Linked DNA regions of Neodiprion lecontei. The protein of the gene in region 2 interacts with the protein of the main gene of each other region in a pairwise test. Links are inferred from orthologs where the notes say so. Each region holds a gene or a part of one and is shown on either strand. Other genes may lie near its edges.

Evidence for each region.
Region 1: the proteins of U3 small nucleolar ribonucleoprotein protein MPP10 (region 2) and U3 small nucleolar ribonucleoprotein protein IMP4 interact in a two-hybrid assay, tested with the Drosophila melanogaster proteins (2 studies listed by BioGRID). The link is inferred for Neodiprion lecontei from reciprocal best matches to the Drosophila melanogaster genes CG13097 and CG11920.

What each region holds. Positions count from the first base shown.
Region 1 is NC_060263.1:38,126,933-38,135,935, reverse strand, and holds U3 small nucleolar ribonucleoprotein protein IMP4, read right to left. Parts: upstream 3,329-9,003; 5' UTR 3,189-3,328; coding exon 2,253-3,188; 3' UTR 2,198-2,252; downstream 1-2,197. Other genes in the region: HMG box-containing protein 4, read right to left, coding at 7-551, 1,686-1,815; phospholipase A-2-activating protein, read left to right, coding at 3,759-3,895, 4,103-4,978, 5,180-5,510, 5,592-5,832, 5,925-6,346, 6,473-6,799; dual specificity protein phosphatase Mpk3, read right to left, coding at 8,901-9,003.
Region 2 is NC_060262.1:22,089,859-22,102,382, reverse strand, and holds U3 small nucleolar ribonucleoprotein protein MPP10, read right to left. Parts: upstream 7,200-12,524; 5' UTR 7,043-7,199; coding exon 6,966-7,042; intron 6,549-6,965; coding exon 5,201-6,548; intron 5,083-5,200; coding exon 4,974-5,082; intron 4,888-4,973; coding exon 4,514-4,887; 3' UTR 3,903-4,513; downstream 1-3,902. Other genes in the region: aryl hydrocarbon receptor nuclear translocator homolog, read left to right, coding at 271-465, 1,391-1,549, 1,616-1,924, 2,049-2,230, 2,314-2,461, 3,234-3,460.

The DNA.
Region 1 (9,003 bases), on a different chromosome or scaffold from region 2:
ACTTACACCCTTATCCTTTCGTTGAGCCTTCATTCTGCCAATAATCTTACCATCCTTGATAATTAATTTCTTCTTGCACTTCTCAAGCATGTACAAACTATTTGCCTGTGAGGGAGCTTCCTGACCGGGTGGTTCAAGTCTCCTGAATCCGGTTTCTCTATCATCAATCAATAAGGGATCCACTTCATCATCACTACCAGATTCTAAGCTATATCTTTCCTCTTCGTTCATTGCCGTATCATCTTCAGAATAAGAGCCAGAGGAGTGTCCTTCATTTTCGGACAACGGCTCAGCCTTAACTCTGCCGATGTGGGATCCAGAGTTTTTGCGTTGCCGTTGAACAGGGGCGTCTCCATGCTGAGATGAATGACTTTGAGTAACTTGCTGACGATGCGCCTCATAACGCTCTAGCAAATGCTGTGCGTGTAACTGTTGGGCTTTTTGTCGTTTGTATTTATTGTCTGCTATGTCATCAGGAGACTCAAAGTCCATAAGTTTAGAGGACTTTTTACGCACGCGACCACTACGTGATATCCCTGTAACCTCTAAATCTGAAATGTAAAGCCAACTAGATCTTGCCAAAAGAGGATCAGGGATAAAAACACATCGCATTACATCTAACTACGCTTTTAAATCCAAATGAAAGACTTCAAAACTACCAAACTATTGAAAAGTAGGATTCACTACGCAAATTGGATTTACTGGTCAGAACTGATGAAGGGTCGGCCTATATATTGGGTGTAACTCAAATAAAGTATTACTTGCAGCAACTTTCTTGCCAAAGTTAATTACGATGTAAACTTACAGGGTTGTTGCAAAATTTTTTTTTCCAGATTCTCAAGCTTAACCAGTTTTCAGGAACAAAGAGATGATTTCTCTCAGATTGTTTCAAAGTATAGAAATTTACAGTTTCAATACGTCAAAATTATCACATTCCAACTTAAACAATTCTAAATTTCTTTTAGCAATAAGAAAATGCTTATCAAGTTAAGTGAGATATGAAATTATTTGGGAACCATTGAATGAACAAAGTCCAATAGCACCCTGTAATACTGTTTTAAATTTCAACTTTACACAATTTACTTTGTTATTCGCAATTATAATAATAATATTGATTTGCAGACAGCATTTTTTGAACACAATACAAATGTATTACTCCCTACGAACAGAAATCTAGTTCTCAGGTCCCTCTTTATTTCATAGGATGATTGACTCAAATTGAGTGGCTTGACTTTAGAATGGGATTAAATTTCAGGGTATTTAATAGAATTCTTTGGCTACATAGAAATTTTCACGTTTGCGACGACCCTGGTATTGGAAAAATTTTACGTGCGACTTATTGTGAAAAATTTGGTAACATAATATGCGAAAATTTGTTCTAAATATTAGTAAAGTTGAATTAAATAATTGAATGTTAATTTATCGATCCGTTCCAAACTGCGCTCAATTTACGCGCTGATGAATTAGTTCCAACGCCGACCGCGACAAATACACAAGCGCTAACTACGTGGCAAGAGAACGAGAAACTACATGATACGGAGAATAGGCTAAATCGCAAAAACGAACGTTACTACTAAATGAATAAAATCCATGCGCCAATGTCTACGTAAATTTTGACACAGTAGTGTTTAGGATGCAGCTAAGCTAACCAAATTGCTTATATACGCGTTTTGGACGTATCTCACCATCCGTTTTTTGATGACGTTTCGGGGACGCGAACGATTCCATTTCGTCGAGCTGGTCGAAATGTTTCTTACGCCGCTGTGCTTGGGGGTTCTCAAGTTTTGGTACTTGTTTTCGAATGTCCGCCTGCATGACGGGGTTGTTTAAATTAAAACAAGCTTCAAGTTTAGTTAAATGATCGTACTTCTTTTTCAGTGCTCGTAATTAAATTAGACCAATTTTACACACACACAATTACCCTGATCTTTTAAAAACAACTGCAGCGTTGCAACCGAAACTGTAGTGCGCATGATCCGTCCATCTAGGTTGAATTACTGTTTCGTGGCGACTCGATTTGCGCGCGAAACTGACATCATCAATGAGTTATTAATAATTGTAAATTACTTGAAAAAGAGCAGATGATTCAAACATTCAATATTTTCCATTTAATGCACTGAATATCGAGTTACATAATGTTTAGAAAAAATTAAAGGTTAGATTTACGGTAAATGAGAAAAAGGCAATTTCATAGCTGTACATACAAAATTCATTTTATTTATAAAAAACCATATGTCTGACTTGAAGTGCATCTAAAAGTCATCTTCCTGTTGCCACCCATCTTCCTCAGATAAAAACCGTCTTTTATGAGTAGTATTCATGTACGGTCGCAACGCCCACTCTGAATCAGCAGCAGCAGCATTGTCTAATGTGCCCAATTTGATTTCGTACAATTTAAGTTGAAACCTGGGACCGACTTCAGACATTTCAATATCCTTGCCATTTATTTTCTTGTAATTATGATGACGGAATGAAATATAGTCGTCGTGATTAGCAAAAGTGATTATCCTTTTGCTGTCCTCCTTAGGTACAGGAAACAAATGCTTTAATATGCTGACAGTCCTCTGTCCCAGTTTAGTTTTAAAGTTGTGAAATATTAAATGCGGATACTGTTCAGACATTGTTCCAATGTCTGGAATATCGTGACGCATGACGACGTCTGACATGGTGAAATAGGCTGTAGGTCCGTAGGGCAGATGGCAGATAACCAGGGTGTCTGGAATCCCTCTATGCTCGTGCACCATGATAAAATCGGTCACGTCATTGGCACGACAGGCGTGAATTAGCTGTTTCATTTCGTAATTACCGCGATTCATCCTTTGGGAGTTTGGAAATATGAGTCTGAGCTCTTTGACGAACATTTTCAGCCGCGAGCTGGGGTCTCGCGATGTCGTTATAACTATTTTCGGGTCCTCGACACCTGCCCATCGGTATTCGTCGTCCTCGTGCGTGCCGATTGCTCCTCCCATCTCCGTACTGATCGCTACGGCCATTTCGGGGCCTGCATCTTCCCACTCGATTTTTTTTTGCAAATGCAATGCATTCTTCCTTAGGTCGTGATGGATCGGAGTATTCTCTTCTAGGCTATGTTTTAACCTCTCTTTCTTGTCCTGGATCGTCTTCATTTTGTCCTGTACTGACTTTCGATAGAGGTATTCCCGCCTCAGTCGCGCTTGTCTTCTCAACATCTTCGATTTTTCGTTTTTATCAACCCTTTAGCACACAATAATGCGTTATTTATTTTTCACAATTTGCGAGGCTGCCGTCAAACAAGCATCAAATCCGATGCAACACACGTGTTTTGCTACTCGTATTCCATAGGTTGAGTAAAAAGTAGAGAACTTACGCTACAGCTAGATATGAATAGCTAGACATCGGGCAATTCTCGAAGTTTTTAAATTCGTCTCAAATTCGGTTGAAGCGTGAAATCAATAATCGACGTGCTATAATTATGAACGCATCTTGTAAAAAACGAACAAGGCTATGCAGTCTACCGTACAAATAATGATATTTTCCACGCGTGTTGGAGTACGTTAATTATTTATTTCACGTTTAAATCAAATTTGACTCAGAGTTTCAGCCCTTTTTAAAGTTTTGACTCACGGCCACCAGCAGAGCGTTGCGGACACCTAAGACAACGAATTTGATGAAAATTTCGGACAATGTGCGTTACTACATCGCCCGTGAGCACAGGCGTGGATGACAGTAGATGATAGATGCAGTTTTATAGTGGTTCGTACAATCAATTTTGATAGATCATGGAAGAAGCACCGTATAAATTAAGTTCCGTGTTAGTTGGTCACAGTTCTGATGTGCGAGCTGTAGCGGCATTTAAGGATGGAAGTCTGGTGTCAGTCTCGCGCGATAAAACCGCTCGCCTTTGGAGGCCGAATGAGTATGTCGAAGCTCTAACCTATATTCCTTTGAATGTCCCACAACGAATTATTATTGTCCCTGTGATCGAGGCAACGTGTAAATGAGGGATTTTCTTTTCATTGTCAAGCTCCCCGTTTGGTTGTTCCATAGTTGACTAGCGAACGGAAATTCGCTTCGTTGCTCAGGTTTTCATGATGCTTGACCCTCCGCAATAATTAACTTTCAGATTAAATGCCGGATACACGGAATCCGCAGTGCTAAAGGGTCACAGCAACTTTGTGAGTTCAGTATGCGTAATAAACCCCTCTGAACAATTCCCGGATGGCTTTGTAATTACTGGGAGCAACGACAACAATATCTGCATTTACCTGCCTGGGGAAGAGAATCCGCTGCACACTATAAAGGCGCACCAAAACACTGTGTGCAATTTGAGTGCAGGTAAGGAGGAGGGAACATTCCTATCCAGTTCGTGGGATCTTACAGCAAAATTATGGCATATCAACAAGCTGGATTCACCACAACTGACTCTGACCAGTCACACGGCAGCTGTCTGGTGTGTGGCAGATTTGGCCAATGGCGTCATAGTCTCAGGATCGGCTGACAAGCTGGTTATAGCCTGGCGGAGAAATGGCACCATACTCCACAAGTTCTCAGGACACACAGATTGCGTTCGTGGAATATGCGTGATCAAGGACGAAGAGTTTTTGAGCTGTGCCAATGACGCAACCATTCGACATTGGAGTGTATCCCTAGGGACTTGCCTCGGCACTTACTGTGGGCACACGAACTACGTGTATGGAATAGCATCGACGTTTCTGCTGGGCGGTTCACATGTTGTTACTTCCGGAGAAGATAGGACTGTTAGGATTTGGCACAACGCTGAAATCCAACAGACTTTAACACTCCCTGCGCAGTCCATATGGTCAGTTGACATTTTGCCAAATGGAGACATTGTCACTGGATCTTCCGATGGATTAGTTAGAATTTTCTCTGCTAAACCTGAACGTTATGCCGATGCTGCAACTTTGCAACAGTACGACGAGGCCATCGCTAATACCCAGCTTAATGCTGAGCAGGAGTTGGGTGGCATCAAGATTAGTGAGTAGGTATTCTTCCCTGTTTCTTGTCAAATTTTTCTTTCATCTTTGAATATTACTTCTGGAAGGAAAGGGTGTACGTTTAATCCTACGCATCATTGACTTGTTCTAAAATGACATAATTTTAGAATGATTGTGCGAAATTTTTAACATCTTATGTATTTTGATCAAAAACATTAACAATGATGATTCCTGGTGACCCACAGTCTGCCAGATGCCAAAGCTCTACATCAACCTGGACAAAGAGATGGTCAGACAAAAATGATAAGAGATGGAAATACCGTCAAGGCTTACAGCTGGTCGCAATCAAGCAAACAGTGGCAACATGTGGGAGATGTGATGGGTGCCTCTGGTGGTAGTCCAGCCACATCTGGTAAACAATTGTATAATGGTATGGAGTACGACTACGTTTTCTCAGTCGACATTCAAGACGGTGTTCCACCTCTAAAGTTGCCTTACAATAATGGCGATGATCCTTGGTGTGCGGCCCAAAAGTTTATCCATGATAATAACCTTAGTCAACTATTTCTTGAACAGGCAAGATATCAATTTTATCAAACAAAATGTCTTATGCACATGGCTTACGAAGACCCTTCAATGACATTTTCCTGTTTGCAGGTGGCAAACTTCATTGTAAATAATTCTCAGTCTGCCCCAGTTCTGAACGCCGAACCCCAGTTCGCTGATCCTTTTACAGGAGGAAATAGGTACATACCAGGATCTGGAATTCCTGGAAGAACATTACCAAATAATGTGCCAACACCGTCGGCTAGCTCTTCCAGTAGTTCTGTGTCGCAGACATATATACCGCATACTACCTATTTGAAATTGGAGCAAGCCAATGTTCCAGCTATCACTGGTGATGAATGATTGCATATTTTTTGCACATAAAATACCAGTAATTTTGTTACTACTAAAAATATACAACAAATAATTTGTTAAAATTTCCAGAAAAATTACTAGAGTTCAACAAAAAGATTGACAATGGCATTCACACAGTTTCGGAGGAATGCTTAGACCCATTTGTAAAACGATTGTGCAGTCAAAACGGAGACGAGGTTGGAGCTGATCCAATTGAAATGTTGAAAATATTTTTGAATTGGCCAAATAACTTGGTGTTCCCAGCACTAGACCTTGCAAGGCTGGCTGTACTTCGACCAGATGTTAACTCGCAGCTATGCAATGACGGATTATTGGCGGTGCTGAGGCGGCACATCAAAACTGATGCACTTCCAGCTAATCAAATGCTAGCTTTTCGAGTACTAGCTAATATGTTCTGCCATAGTAAGGGTGAAGCATTGGGTCTACATTATAAAGACGAGTTACTCAAGACGATACTCGACCTTTCGTCTCTTGGAAGTAAACATAACCAGGTATAACCGGTACTTCAACATTTATTCTGACATGCGGGACGGTTTGATCAGCGCCAACGTTCTTAGAGCTTCTATCCGTACATGTTTTCAATCCTACAATTAATCAATTTACAACTGTTGTTTCAGATTGCGATAGCGAGTTACCTGCTTAATCTAATAGTGGCATTGAATAAACTTGACGATACACCTGGCAGAACAAGAGTACTTAATGTGATGTTTGCCGTTTTGCCGCTCTTGACTGAGCCCGAAGCAATATTCAGAGGGCTCGTTGGGTTGGGTACAATTTTGGCAGCAACACCAGACCCCGAGGATCGTGATAAATTAATTACAGCTGTGCGACAGTGCGAAAGTGCACTGGCTGTTATCAAGACAATGTCCGAATGTTCGACCAATAGCCCTGCACAAAATAAACTTTCTAATTGTTCCAAGCAAATTATTGATCTAATTATGTAAAGAATTCTTACTGTCAAACTTTCGTATTTTTAATACTGAAGGAGAAAATATTCATTCGGCAATTCGAATTTCTCAAAATAATTAAACTCACGATTTCTTCGTAATTGGTTATGAGAGACCTAGTTACTCGAATAGTCTACATAAAATTTTTAGGCAACAAATTCATATCTTCTCGAAATGATTTGGCTCCAATTCGTGGAATTGGGACGGTTTCTTGTTCACGCGAGACCTGCATCAATTATGTAATGTTCATTTATGATAATATTTTTGCATTATTTACTGAATTGCTGTGTGAATATTGATTGATTACATCCATTACATGTACAGTGTGTAGTAGAGTGTGCTACGTGTTACCCATTAAAATTAGCATCATTTGGAATAAAAGCAGTGTTCAAATTTATCGAGAGCACTTTTAAATGAAAGAGGCGAAAAATTATTTAATGATTGTCCCACAACTCTAGCATTGCTGGAGAAAATCTTACGTCTGCGTGTGCTACCAAATTTGACAATAATTGCGACCTTTGATACAAGAATTTTTCTAGTTTTTTTTTTTTTTCTTTTCTCCTAAGCAACCCACAGGGAGTAGTTTTTAATTTATCAGTGAACTTTACTACCCATGTAATGTCTTGAATTCAATGCAGATCACGTTTTTTTTTTTTAGTATTTGATTCAACATTGTCAGCATTGTAAGCTTCTATGATTTTTCTATTTAATTCGAATAAAATGCCGAATAGTTTAACGGGGAAATTTGGAGTGACAGAGAAATTGATGACATGTAATAGTGACAGTGATAAAACAAAAGTCGCACATGAGGTAAGATAACTTGTATATCTAAATAAAAATGAGCTCAAATATGTACAACGACGAATATAAAATAATAATTTATGTAATATACATATTTGATTTAATTCTTCGGACGTTCAATCCATTAAACATACAACAGACAACGGTGTAGTAGTAGAATATTGTTATTATAGTAACGTCAAATATATATTTCCTTAACAGATAAACGATCGGTCTTGAGTGATCAAGAGCCGGTTCATCTTAACTTTGTAATTAGTTGCATGAAAAATAACATTCACTGTATATATTCATATTAATTTCAATTATGTTCGATGAAAAATACATACTATATATTGAGATAGTTTGTTTCAGCCATGTAGATTTAGGCTCGCGACGGGAATGTGAATGTGTTGGCTTTTTTCTTTGTTTTTTTTTTTTTTTTGGTTTTTTTTAAAAAAATAATTTTTTAATATATTCTTGAGATCTGTAGGACGATATTGCAGAAAAGTGATGTTGCTGCTCTGAAGTTCGAACAATCAATCAAAAATGTGCAGATGATTCAGACTGCGATATTCATTATTCATTCATTTGCTTAATTAATTAATTAATTAGTTATTTACTTTCTTTCACTAGTATATTATCATTATCCCAAGTACATTGGGCCACCGAATGCATATTTCAACAACCAGAAAAAGCAGTTTTTAACGCAGCCGTTACAACTTTTTAACAACATGCGTACTGATCTGACTATTCGATTTATCTTTTTTTTTATTTTCATCTAACACTAGCAAACCACTAGAGCAGTTTGAACCAATTTTCTGTTTCATGCATATCACCGTACACGTAATGTAAAATTGAGACAAATTATGCACGAAAAGGGGTAGGGAATGCTCTCCAAAAAAGAATACCGAATAAAGATTTTACCCGAGGATTTCTTTACTCGTTCAATGTATCATCATAAAGTAACCGAGGCTTCGCGAAGTTTACAAGTCACGTATTGCGGAAGAACAGAAAAGAAATATCAAATTTAAATTTCAAATTTCAACCCAAACGGCGTTCCGGAATAAAGGTATTTTTTTCCTTCTGGTTTTTATCGGATAAATGAAAAAAATTTAAAACGAAGCGTATCAAAGTATCTTCAACTGTTAAAGACCCTTTCAAACTTCTCGGATAAAATATTCTTTGAATAAATAATAAAACTATCCTCGTTCTTTTTTCCGTATACCCGTAGCAATTACGTGGCCGCGTTGGGCTGAGCTGGGCAGAATGAATAGCTGGGAGGGACCTAGAATTTGTATTGGGTCCCCCCAGCCCCGTCTCATTCTGCCGGCGTACTAGCCGCCCATCTATCAAACTCAATACCTGAATCAGGACTAAGACCTAGATCGATAGGACTTAAAAAGCTAGGTACGGGACAATTG
Region 2 (12,524 bases):
TAGAAAATCATATCTTAGGATGTCGAACTTTTTGATACTTGCTTTCATTGTCAATAATTACGCTTAATCGAAACATGTTTCTTTCAATACCTAATAATCACTGGTTTATTTTTATTCACGAAAATACTGCATTTACATCTGAATGAAAGGACAGTTATTTTTTTTTTTTTTCACTTATATCTGTGACCACTCTCTACATGTACATATAATTAAGTTTGTTAAGTTTTCGATGGTGGACCTGGGTACCTAACAGGCTCTTTTAAATCGTAGGTGATTTTGTTTCCCCGTGTGTACCAGGTGTGGGTATAGGTGACAGGGGTCAGGGTGGGGGAGTTCCAGGGGCACCTGATGGAGTCGTTGGTGACGACAGCGGCTCGTCACACTGCTGCTTAGTAGCCATCGGACGTCTTCAGGTCACAAGCACACCAAATACCAGTGATTTAACTGGTTCAAACAGTAACAATGGTGAGATGCTACTTTATCTTGTTTAAATAACATTAACACACTGAAGGAATGCTTATCTGTTTCTTTAAAATCACAGAAGTAGAAAAAATCTATTTAAGATATTAATCCCCATCATATAGACTATAAAAAAGTCTCAATCAGTACGGACTGGGTGAGGAATACTCGGTAAAACTTCAGTCATTTAGATCGTTTGGCTTGAATTGGTCAGTTGAAACTGTTCTCTTTTTTTTCTCACAACATATCTTTTCAAAGTGCTCTTTCCACACAGGCTTATCGTATTGTAAGCATTTATAACGCGTTTTATGGTCGGGAGAAGAAGGGCACAAGTTGCATCATTTGGTTTTCGCTATCTTATTATCGGCCAATTCATGCTGGATATCCTATTCCTCTGGCATATCACTAGGCTTTAAAACATCCTCAATTGAATTTCGCAATTTGAGATGTCGAGTGGGTATAACCAGTCTCCTAACTAAGGTTTTACAAGTTTTAATGATAGTTCTTTGATAAATTTGTTTCTTTGTATGGCTGTTTTTTTCATTCAAATTACATGAAATGAAACTATTTACACTAGCTTGATCCAGCATACCATACAACATTCTTACAGGCCATCTAAACGATTTCTTAGCCGTTTTATACTGATGGCATTTCTGGTCAAAACTATCAATGCATTTCGAAATGACGATGCATTTTTAGAAAAAATCGTTATCTCCCAACTTTAGTATAGTTAGATATGCAGTAAGCCATAATAATGCCAGATATCTTCATGCTTTGCAAACTAAACTGCTTTAAAGTCATTCTGGAGTTGCGAAATAGAGATTTGTTTTTTCAATATTTCATTGTGTCAACATTAATACCTTCGATATCGTTGGAAACTTCAATCGCTAAAACTGACTGTCATCCAATGGTGAATTTCTCTGTACTACAGAATTCATCTCCCGTCATTCAGCTGAAGGAAAATTCACTTTTGTCGATCAGAGGGTCGGTGGAATCCTGGGATACACGCCATCTGAGCTCCTCGGACATCCCTGCTACGATTTTTTTCACCCTGAAGACCTGACGCACATGAGGGAAAGCTTTGAGCAAGGTAAATAAAACTTAGGAAAAAAATGGTCGAAACTTTTTGTTGACCGTGTTTTTTCTTATATCACAGTACTGAAACTAAAGGGCCAAGTTATGTCGGTGATGTATCGATTTCGGGCGAAAAATCGGGACTGGGTTTGGCTCAGAACGTCCGCCTTTGCGTTTCTCAACCCTTACACGGATGAAGTCGAGTACATAGTCTGCACGAACACAACGGCCAAATCCTTGCACCCTGGTGGTGAGGGACAAACCGAAGGAGAGAATGTCTCTGGTTATGGACAACCTAGTCTTGACTACAGCGTCCACAGACATCCTGCCAGAGAGGCTATTTACCCAGCCCATCAAATGATGCAGCATCCTGCGACAGTTGCTACTGCAGGTATGGTATCTTATAACTTGATTTTCCACCTGTCATGAAATTCTTTGTCAAGTGCCGCAAAACCTGAATGTCGCCAAACGAATTTTGACCAAGTTATCACTTCATCTCGGTCACCTACTTACAGGACCCCAACAAGCAAGACCATCCAGTGCTCAAAACGTTTACCAGGGATATGAAACGACCCAGTCACCAATAGCCTATGGATCCCCCGGTCAGCAGAGCACCTCCTCCTCGGTTCTAAATCGTATACCAAAACCGGCAAACACATCGCCGACTCCCGTTCAGCAAGCCTGGACACTCAGACAGGTAAATATCAACGGTGCAATTATTGTTCCGCATCAGGTCCTGTCAGGAATTGTCTCATTCAATGCCACCCTATTCTTTTATAGCAACAACCTGTCACCGAAGGCTACCAGTATAACCACCAGTTAAGTCCGTCGAGATCTCCAAGTGGTCCAACTTATACTCAGCTTAGTAGTGGAGCTCGAACACCTGCGGCGTCTTACCACGCGGTTACAACAGTTCCGAACAATCCGGGTAAGTCAACGTGTGGTAGGGTTAATGATTAAATTTATTCGATTAACAGGGCTTATACCAGTAGGTGCCTAAAAAAGTGAGTGAATTCTAAGAATTTATATCTTGACAATCAATCATTCAATTCGATTGGGGATCGTTTTATTCAAGAGTATGCAGGTTGAGCTTCATTTAAATACAATTTTTATTAGAATCAATTATTAGGAACTATTGTTATTGACAATAACGTCAACTCTTTCGCTCATTGACACCTTTTGTGGTCCTCACGATAGCTCAAAAATGGCTCAACCAATTTACTTCAACTTGGAGCTGACATTCTTGGACAGTTTATTCTTTTCGCCACAATCCTATTTCTTTCTATCATCATATTATTATGTTAACTAAACTTAAAAAGAGTGGTAAATTTTTTTTTGTGAAAAATTATATTCCAACTTTAAACGTTTCTTGTTCCGTTGAGAACAAAAAATTTTGGATTCCGGAAGAGAAGATAAACTCGCCGCGAAAACTCTCCAAATTTGAGGTACCAAAACTACCACTGAGCGAAATGTTTGAATTTAGTATCAATAACAATGCTTTCTGTTAATAGATCATAATTAAAAAAAAGACCTCAATGAATCTCGATCTACATACTTTTAAATTACATAAACCATGATCAAATTGAAAATCGATAGCAGAAATTTGAATTCTCGAAATTCCCCCGCTTTTTGAGCCGTTTACTCGTATACGTAGGTATACCCCCCCAGCAATTGATTTTTTTATTTGATCATCATTTTAGGCATGTGGGGCTGGCAAGGCCAGCAGCATCAAGGGCCGCATCAAGCACAGCAGGACGGTGGACAGGCGGGTGCACCGGTCGCTAATCAAGGCCAGGGTCCTCACCCCTCGCAAGGAGGTCCAGGAGCGCAGCCTCAGGAGTTATCGGACATGTTACAGATGTTACAGGACCAAGGCGGAGCCCCTGGTTTTGAGGAGCTCAATATGTTCAATACTAATTTCGAGTAGGAAGGGGGGCAGGGGAAATCTTGGTGGTAGAAAAATAACTAATTAATATAACTATTATTGATATTGTATTTTTCCACCTTCGATATTAATCCCTTTTATTGATATTTTTACTCAGCCCTTACCATCCTTCCTGATCTTAATACTTTCAATTTAGAAAAGAAACAAAGTAAATAAAATTTAACAAAATTAAGCGAAGTCAAATAAGGATAGTTAATACGCAGAATTTCCAATTTCTACTTGGAATGGTATTTTAAATATATTTAATTATGTACATTTTATGATCAACTTTGAATCATTGATCGATCCATGTTCCATATACTTATTTGCCAGTGTTCTGGAGAAATTCATTGCAAAAGTGGAAAACTATTTAAAATGAAGAGGAAAAAAATGAAAACTACAAGGAGTTGACAAAAAAAATATTGAAATATTTTTCAAACTTTTCAGAATAGTTACGAATAAGAAATTAAAACTTTTCGACTGCAAGCTTTCATCGTAGATATATATGATAAGGAGTAGCTTAATGAAATTGTTTTTTCATATATTTGTAAACCGTGCAATTACTATAATGTTTTTGATGACAGATATTAGACAAAGACACGACCGTGACAATGTACAAAATTATATAACTCACTCGAAGCTGCTTGTTATTTACAAAATGATGTCATTAATGGATATCAATTTTCTAAGTAATATTTTTTCTTAGATATTAGTAATAACATAGCACATAATTAAATAATTGTAATTATAATAAGACTATCACTTGTGAATTGTTGCATTTGTATATGTTTAGCAATATTTTAGATTGAAAGCAAGAGAGAGATTGAGAAATAACAAAAAAAAGTTTTAAAAAACAAAAAAAAAACCATAGCATATCATAATCGTGAGAAAACGGAAACACTTTTTCACTAATATATGGGGAATACTATACGGAGAAAACTCGTGTTTTAAATTTCATTTATTAATAATAATAATGATGAATACCTCTAATTGTAACTAACGTACTTTAAAAAAATAGTAGAAGAGGAAATTGTTTTAATTATCGACTATACAAGTTCAGAGTTTTAATTTCACCGCGGATAATGCCTTCTTGTCTTTCTTCTTCCGCACATTGCCGTCTTTCGATTTTATATGAAAATTGACTTGATCCTGAAGCTGATCAAAGAATGCTGTGGAAGACTTTGCCGTCTTTCCACTCGTTTCATCTATCTTTGAAATATTACGCTCCTTACTCAAACTGTCAATCATCTTTGCTGCTTTTTCCTTACTGTACTTATTTCCAAGACCAGGTTTCAATTTCCCAACAATCTTTTCCCGCTTTTCTTTAGCTTTCTCTCTGTCTCGTTGATTCAACTTCTTTTGACGCCTTTCACGTTTCATGTCCGTCTCAGTTCTCTCGGCTCTGCCGATCAGGTCGCCACGCGATTTTGCTGTAATGAAACGGAATTGAATAATTTGTAATAGCGAACTTTTTCTGTATTCAGATAGATACTGATTGCTGTATTATATGGTTTACCTTTTATTTCTTCTGGTGCCAATAAAGTTGCATCACTTGTGGCTATCGGAGCTACTTCCTCCATCGTTACAGCAGGAAGGTTGCTAACGATTTTGACGTCAGGCCTGGCCTAAAATAAAATGCGAAAACCATTATCGATACATTATGAATTTGTGAATTCTAATCTGTCTCATTTCGGATCTAACTAGAATTAACAGATGCTGCATCAAGAGAAACTGATGGCTTACCAATTTTGGAGTGTAATGAAAATTGGAAAGAGCGTCAAGTTTGCTGAACAAAGAATGCATCATATTACGAATTTCAATGTGTTCTTTAGGTTCCTCAGTTTCTCGTTCCTCGTTGTCAGGGTTCAACGCTTCCTTTTGTTTCAAGTATTCATTTTCATAAATCTGTGCCAGACTAAGTTTGCTCTTCTCCTGGTCTAACACCAGCTTTTTTTTATATTCCATTGGGGTTTCAACAGGTTTAAATTTCTTCTCAACATCGTCCCAAGCTTTGTCTTTTATTCTCTGCTTTATTATATCCTCTAACTTCAATGTTGTTTCTTCAGTGATCACAGGAGCTGGTCTGGAAGTTATGTCAAACTCAACGTGCTCCTGCAGCAGTGAATCCTGTGGCCTAGATGCAGCATCAACTTCACCCTTTAATTGCCAAGGTTTTTCTGAAATTGCTGCTTCTTCCAATTCCTCTATTTTTCTTCGCAGTCTTTCTTGACGTGTTTCTAGGCTGGATTTTATCTCTGTAGTTCCTTCCTTTTTAGATTCATCTTCCTCTGAACTACTTGAAGCCGATTGATCATTGACACTGAATTTAACGCGTTTCTTATGAGGTTCTGTTGTTTCTTCTTCATCTACAGATAGGTTGGTATCGTTCTCAGATTCTTCATTAAAATGATTGCTCTCAGTCTCAGAGTTTGATTCATCGTTGCTCTGTGGTTGATCAAAGAAATCTTTAAACTTTACTAGTCTTGGGTCAGTTTCGTTGTCTTCGCTTCCATTATCAGAAACATATTCAAATAAGTCGACAGACTCCTCATCGGCATCATCACTGTCTTCTTCATTCGACTTCCCTTTTTGCATTTCTCTTTTATCTTCTTTCGTGAGGTACTCATCCAATTCTTGGAGTTTGAAGAATTTATCATCTACTATCGAGGGCGGTGTTTTTCTTTTGGCCACTCTTTTCGATTTCTTCTTCCTCATCTGCTTCCCCAGTCCTTCTATGTCTAAATTACTTAAGTCGCCGTCACTTAGGTCTGAATCGTAGGAAGATACCTGTTCGCCATCCAAAGATTGATCGAGGCCTGATTTATCATTGCTTTGTTGTTCATCACTCCTCGTTAGCTTGACAGGTAGTTTCAGTCTCTTACCCGCAATCAACGATCTAGAGACTCCTGTCAGAATATGAGGCAATTCTCCTTCATTCTGGAGTTCTAGCTGTTGCCATATTTGCTCAGTATCAAAACCCTCTGTGATTAGCTCTGGCAACGCCTCCGTCATGCGACCAGATTCTTCCTTAGTAAAATCATAAAGGGATTTTATCGTGTGACGGAATTCCAACGATGCACCTGCCTGTATGCTACAAAGATGAAAATTATCGGTGTTAATTGAGCCGAACAATGAAAGGTAATCACTGGCTGCATAAATTATTTGATAAAAATCGTAAGATGAAGATTTTCTTTCTAAATGAATATATTTTACATCTACTTCAATTTCATGGGACTGAAGTTAGTAATGGATAAGTAACGCAACGTTAAAAGAAAAATCGTTTTACAACTTTAAAATGAGTTTGAAAAGTTTCAGATTATAAAATCTGAGTATGCCGACGGTGTTTCAGTGTTCACTGAATTTCAAACAAACCGGGTTTTGCTAGAAGTAGAAGTACAACTTGAAAATAACGTTGAGAACTGCAGCCTCATTCAATTTTAACGTACTCCAGTCGAAATAATTATTGGACCTGTAAAACTACGGTTGTTGGAAATGAATTAGAATTAACCTCAAATAATTTTCAGTTTTCTTGGTGTTTGCTTCTACGACGTTGATGATGTCGTGGAAAACCCTCGAGCTCTTCATGATCGGTGAATAATTCTATACAATAGATAACTTAAACTGCAATAGTTTTTGAATTAAAAGACATTGTCACAACCATGTGGCATTCGAACTACGATTCGAACCTTTAAGAATGCTAGCCACATGCATTCACACTATGCATACTATGGGCATTGGTCAGGACAGGGGACGAATCACAGACTTTATACGTTGACTGAAGATATACAAAGACTGATAACCCTGGGTTATTTTTCGTAACAGTTTGTCGGGTCTGGCCGGTTTGGAGGTATTAGCAGATTCCCGTATTATCAACCAAGCAACTGAACACGCCCATAAACGAAGTTCATAACCAACAACAATCGTGTGCAAAACATTGATAACATACCGTTGACATGGTGAAATTGCAAAGTTGAGAAAATCCCGTTCAAGACATATGTGTGCCGAAATTATACAACGGAAAAATAAATGTCAATCAAGGACATGAACGTGTATCATTTATATTTACATGAATACATCAAATCTTTTGCGGGCGACAGTATCATCTCTAAGACGCTCAATTCATTTTTTCAAAGTTTTTTACGTAGTATTTTGGAAGAATATTGAAATGCTCTATTTTTAGTTCCAACCATTTGAAGAATGTTTCTATAAAGAATTTTTGTTTGCTTTGATGAGCACTTTTAAGATTACGATTTGAAGAAATTCGATATCTCAAGTTTTGAAAATATCCGAAAAATTCTGAAACACTTTTTTCTTTGCTAGAAGCACGTTGAAGATATGTAGAAGAATGAGCCTATTTTATGAGTTTTTCCCAAAATTTGTAAACGATAATTGGGTTTTAATTAAGAAAAATTCCGCAAGTTCTTGAATAAATATAAAAATTAATAATGGAAATGAATCTATCATGAGATTCATTGCAAATTAAGTGGAATGAAGAATAAAATATTTGCGGATTTATTTTAAATTCTGATGAGGTTTTAAAATTGTCTTTCAGTCATACACCTTTTTAGAAATGTGACGAAACAAAAAATTTATTTTATCTTCTGTATAATATTGACTTATCAAACCATATTTTTTTTCTCAATTGTTGAAATGCTAAATATTGATTATTGTCAATTCGTAGTTCTTTGAAGCGCTAAAAAAATTGGGAATATCTCTTTCTTTCAGAGCAAATTTTGAAATGTTCTGAATGCCATAAATAACATTATTGAAATATCAACGGTTGTTTTTCAATAAGTGGTTTTCAAGGGTAATGATCCGATGACTTTCAAATCATTAAATCCTGTTACCAACGCAACATTATTCGTAAAGTCAATTTTTATCCTGTCGGCTATACGTACTGCCGTTATCAAAAGATACTCATACTTATAATCTACTGCTATTCCGCATCAAAGGAAGTTGAAGCACGTATAGTTAAACCTTGCACCACTGCACATTTATTTCATTTTAAGAAGTGAGAATTGACTATATAATTGTTACGTTTCCAAAAGGTGGAGTTAAAAATGTTGAAAAGGTTGATCAAAGAGATACTTGATTTGTAGCCACCTACAATGAAGAGAGTACCGAAACCGGTAATCGATGGTAGTATAGCTAGAAGATAACTCGAAAATTTCCTTGCGCGTATTTATAATTGAACATGCAGATAACTTTGTCCCAAACCATAATCATCCTTGTCAATGGAAAATATTTTTTTGGAATATTTAGAGTTAGAAAGTGCGCGACGTGGATTTTTATTATTATATGTATAGGGGTATCAGCCTAAAACTCGAATTGAATTATGAATTCATTTGTTTATTTATTTATTGATAAATTTATATCTTTTACGGGATAAAATTCATTTTTACATAGAAAATACAGATTAGCGTTGATAGGCAAGCCAGTATCTACTTGTATGAAGAAGTAAAGTATCAATTCTGAATTGTTTTTTATTTCTTGATTCATAAAATTAGATTTGTGATTATTTTTTTGTACTCCAAGAAATTGAAGTGGGAATTATTTTTTATTTCTTAATTCGAAAAATTATACTGGGAATTTGTTTTCACTCTCGTGATTCGAAACGATGAATAAAGAATCAGTTCTTTATTTCGATAATTGGAATAATTTAATTGAGAATTAATTCATCTTCTTCAATGAGCAAATTCGTATTATTGCAATTACTTTCAATTTCTCAATTCAAAAACTCGAATTGAGAATTTTTGTGAAAAATTTAATTTTAGTAGCGTAATTAAAAATGAGTGCTGTCAATTGTGATTTTTAGTTTGAAACTAAAATATGTCCGACACTGCTACATTGTATTACATAATTGTGTGGAAAAATGTGCATGCGGCGGGTTGCAAGCCGGTGTGTTTACCGGTCCAAGGATAGTGAGTGGGGTGAGATTGCGATCGAGCGTCTGTGCTGCTGGGCGTCCTAAGAAAAGGAGACTCGCGTAAATACTACGCAAAGGACGCCGCTTCACGATGTGTTTATCTCGTTCATTTTTGATTACGAAAAGTCCCATAAGACTATCAGTCTTTACATATCTTCAGTCAACGCCGTAAGTGGTCGGAGAAGTGATACTTCGCCTGACGGCGCACGTTACGGCAGTCTTGTAAACATTAGATCGCGTTGCGCGTAGCTTGCGTGGTGTTTACACCCGGCCGTGAGACTATGGATATATAAAATAGAGCGTAAGCAACGGCGTGAGCGTCCCGTGAACAGATTTGAATCGATTCTCTAAAGGATAGAAGATAATAATTCTCCCCCCCTCTCTGTCGCTCTTCCGTGATCGTCGTGCGCGGGTTGGGGAACGGGAGAGGAAAAACAGCTAGGTGGCGGGTGCAACTACCCCCACTCCACGGGAAGATCAGGAGAGAGGGCGGGAGCGCCGAGCAGAATCAGTCGTCTCCGAGCAATCGAACTGAGATCATCCGTCCTCGGCATCAGTTCAACATTCCGACCGGTGGTTCAAGTGCATTTCCAACATACTTGTCTGTGAACAATACACGAGGAGCCGTGTATAACCTAACAAAAAACCGAGTTACTAAAGTAAAAACATCCTGCGAACATTGAAGGTGAATTTTGTGTCCCGAGTTTTCATTGTTTGTTGTGTAACTTCAGATTTTAGTGATGTGTGTTTTGTCTCTGTGCGTCGTGTGTCAATTTTAATATTTTTATGGCTTATTTTCGGCAAATGCGCTATTGCATTGTTAGCAAGATTATTCACTCGGTTCAAACAGACAGCTGTAGCACAAAAACTGAGTGTAGAATCCGAGTGTTATTGCGGTGCGGACTTTTGAACTATAAGAGACTAGTGAAGATGTGAATGATGTGAAAAGTGCGTCGCTTCACCGATAAACCTGAGATGCTGCAACTACTGCATGTGAAAGTGTGGAACAGCCCACAGTCGAGGTAACAATACTTATTTTAATTATTGATTGATAGTTCACGGTGGTCATTTAAAGCCGAACGAATTCGTAAATATGAAACAAGACATCAGTAATAATTAATTTGAAAACTGAAAAGCCAATTTCCTAAATTAATTCAAGTGTCGTGTTTTGTTTTTCACAGATTTAAGCAGAGACTTCCGAGTAACTTTTCCATTTCTCGGCAACGTTGGTGAGTTTGCATGTGTTAGGTTACGGGTATTTCCCTGGGATTCCTTTGTCACGTGGCGTGGCGGTAACAATTGTCACACAAATCTTCGATTTCTTAGCTACATGGATAGGCTCATTCACAATCGCAACGTGCTTGACTTTCAGTGGAATCATCATTTCTCGCAATGCAATTTAGCGTAGCTTACTTCAAATTAGAAATTTTACACGTTGCTAAAAGTGGAATGAGCATCGCGACAGGCAACCATCGCTTACTCGGCACTCGCGAGATCGAATTGTGTTTCGTAACTGATGTAATAATCTACGTTTGAATTTACCGATGATGCCGTTTAAGTGGTGGGTTCACCTGAGGTTTCAAAAGTATTCAATTATCCACATTATTGTTAAATTTCAAAATCAATTTGCATCTTATATATCATTTTCAATCTTTTAACAGCCAACAAGTATTGATCAACTGCAGGCTTAGCTCGCTTAGAAAAATGCTAATTAGAATTCAGGATGTTTTAATCAATTTTACCAAAGGTTAATGTACCGATAGTCTGCCAACATTTACTAAAATAACAAATGCAATATTAGAGTTGGCGGGATACAACCGCGATACTGTATTCTGAGTAGGCAGACTACGATACAAAAACATTTTGCTCCCAACAGGTAACCAATGAAAATGTAAGTCAGTGACCACGGCGCAAATGATGAAGAATGATGTGTGTTGGAAAAAATGGAGAATCGTTTAGGTCGAATATAGGTAACCGGGTAGGTAGGTGGACGTTTTGGGATCCGTCGCGGGGTTTATGCATGAGTGTGTGAATCTCTCTTTTCCGTTGGGTGGGTTCGTTGGGAAACAGGCGAGGTTAGGAAGGTCGCGATGTACCGTGATGCTACTAACTTTTGTAATCCACAGCGTCAAACGATCACAGACATTTTCCCAAAAGACTCCACATTCGAGTCTGTCGACCATTTGTAAACATTTGAGTATTAACGAGATTAAATTTCCCACTTCTTGTCACTTTGCAACGATTTTTCAATCGTTATCCAATTCGATTATTTAGTCATCACCGATCGTTATTCCATTCGATTAATCTCTGTGATCGTCTGAATGGGCAAAACGCATCTCTGGACCATTTATCGCGTTCCGTGGTACGCTAGATGGGGAGAGATGCTGAGCTCGAAGACTTCGCGTCGAAGAGGACCGCCGACCGTCACGCCACACAATAATGCATGCCCTCCAACCTCCCTCCCAATTTCAATTTGATTTGTAATCTGAGAACAACAATCCGCATAGCAATGTATCTGGTATCTAAAAGATGCAGATGCGGATTGGGTTTCTACAGAATTTTTGGGACAAGTCCCAGAAAATACAAATTTTTTTACAGTTTAATCTGTCGCGCCTTATTGCGTGTAGATTAATCACGAGAATTGAACGCAGCTTCATGCGCGTAAATTAAGAACGAGAATTCGACGCAGCTTCATGCGCTTAAATTGATAACAAGAATTTGACGCAGCTTCATGCGCGTAAATTAATAATTGAAATTGGGCACGTTTTTTTGCACGTCGATTTTGCAAACAGTATATAAAAAGTTGCGCACTCTCGACGTGCTGATGTTTCAGTTCTTCAGGCAACTTTTTAACGAATAATAAGATTTTCAAGTTCAACGACGCCTTTTGCGCGTGGACTTGATACCTTTCAGTTATGAGAGAAACCGCGGCATTTGAAATCCGGCGCTCAACGCGTAGGAACAAAAATCTCGGTAGTGTATACTGATAGTGAAAAATCGTAGCGTAAATATTTATGAAATATATCTGAAACGTACAGAAATACTCGTTTAACTGATCGTATTATTTTCTGTTTCAGGGCAACAAAACCGATTTCTTAACAAATGCACTGAGACCCATAAAATGTTTCCAAAAAGATATTC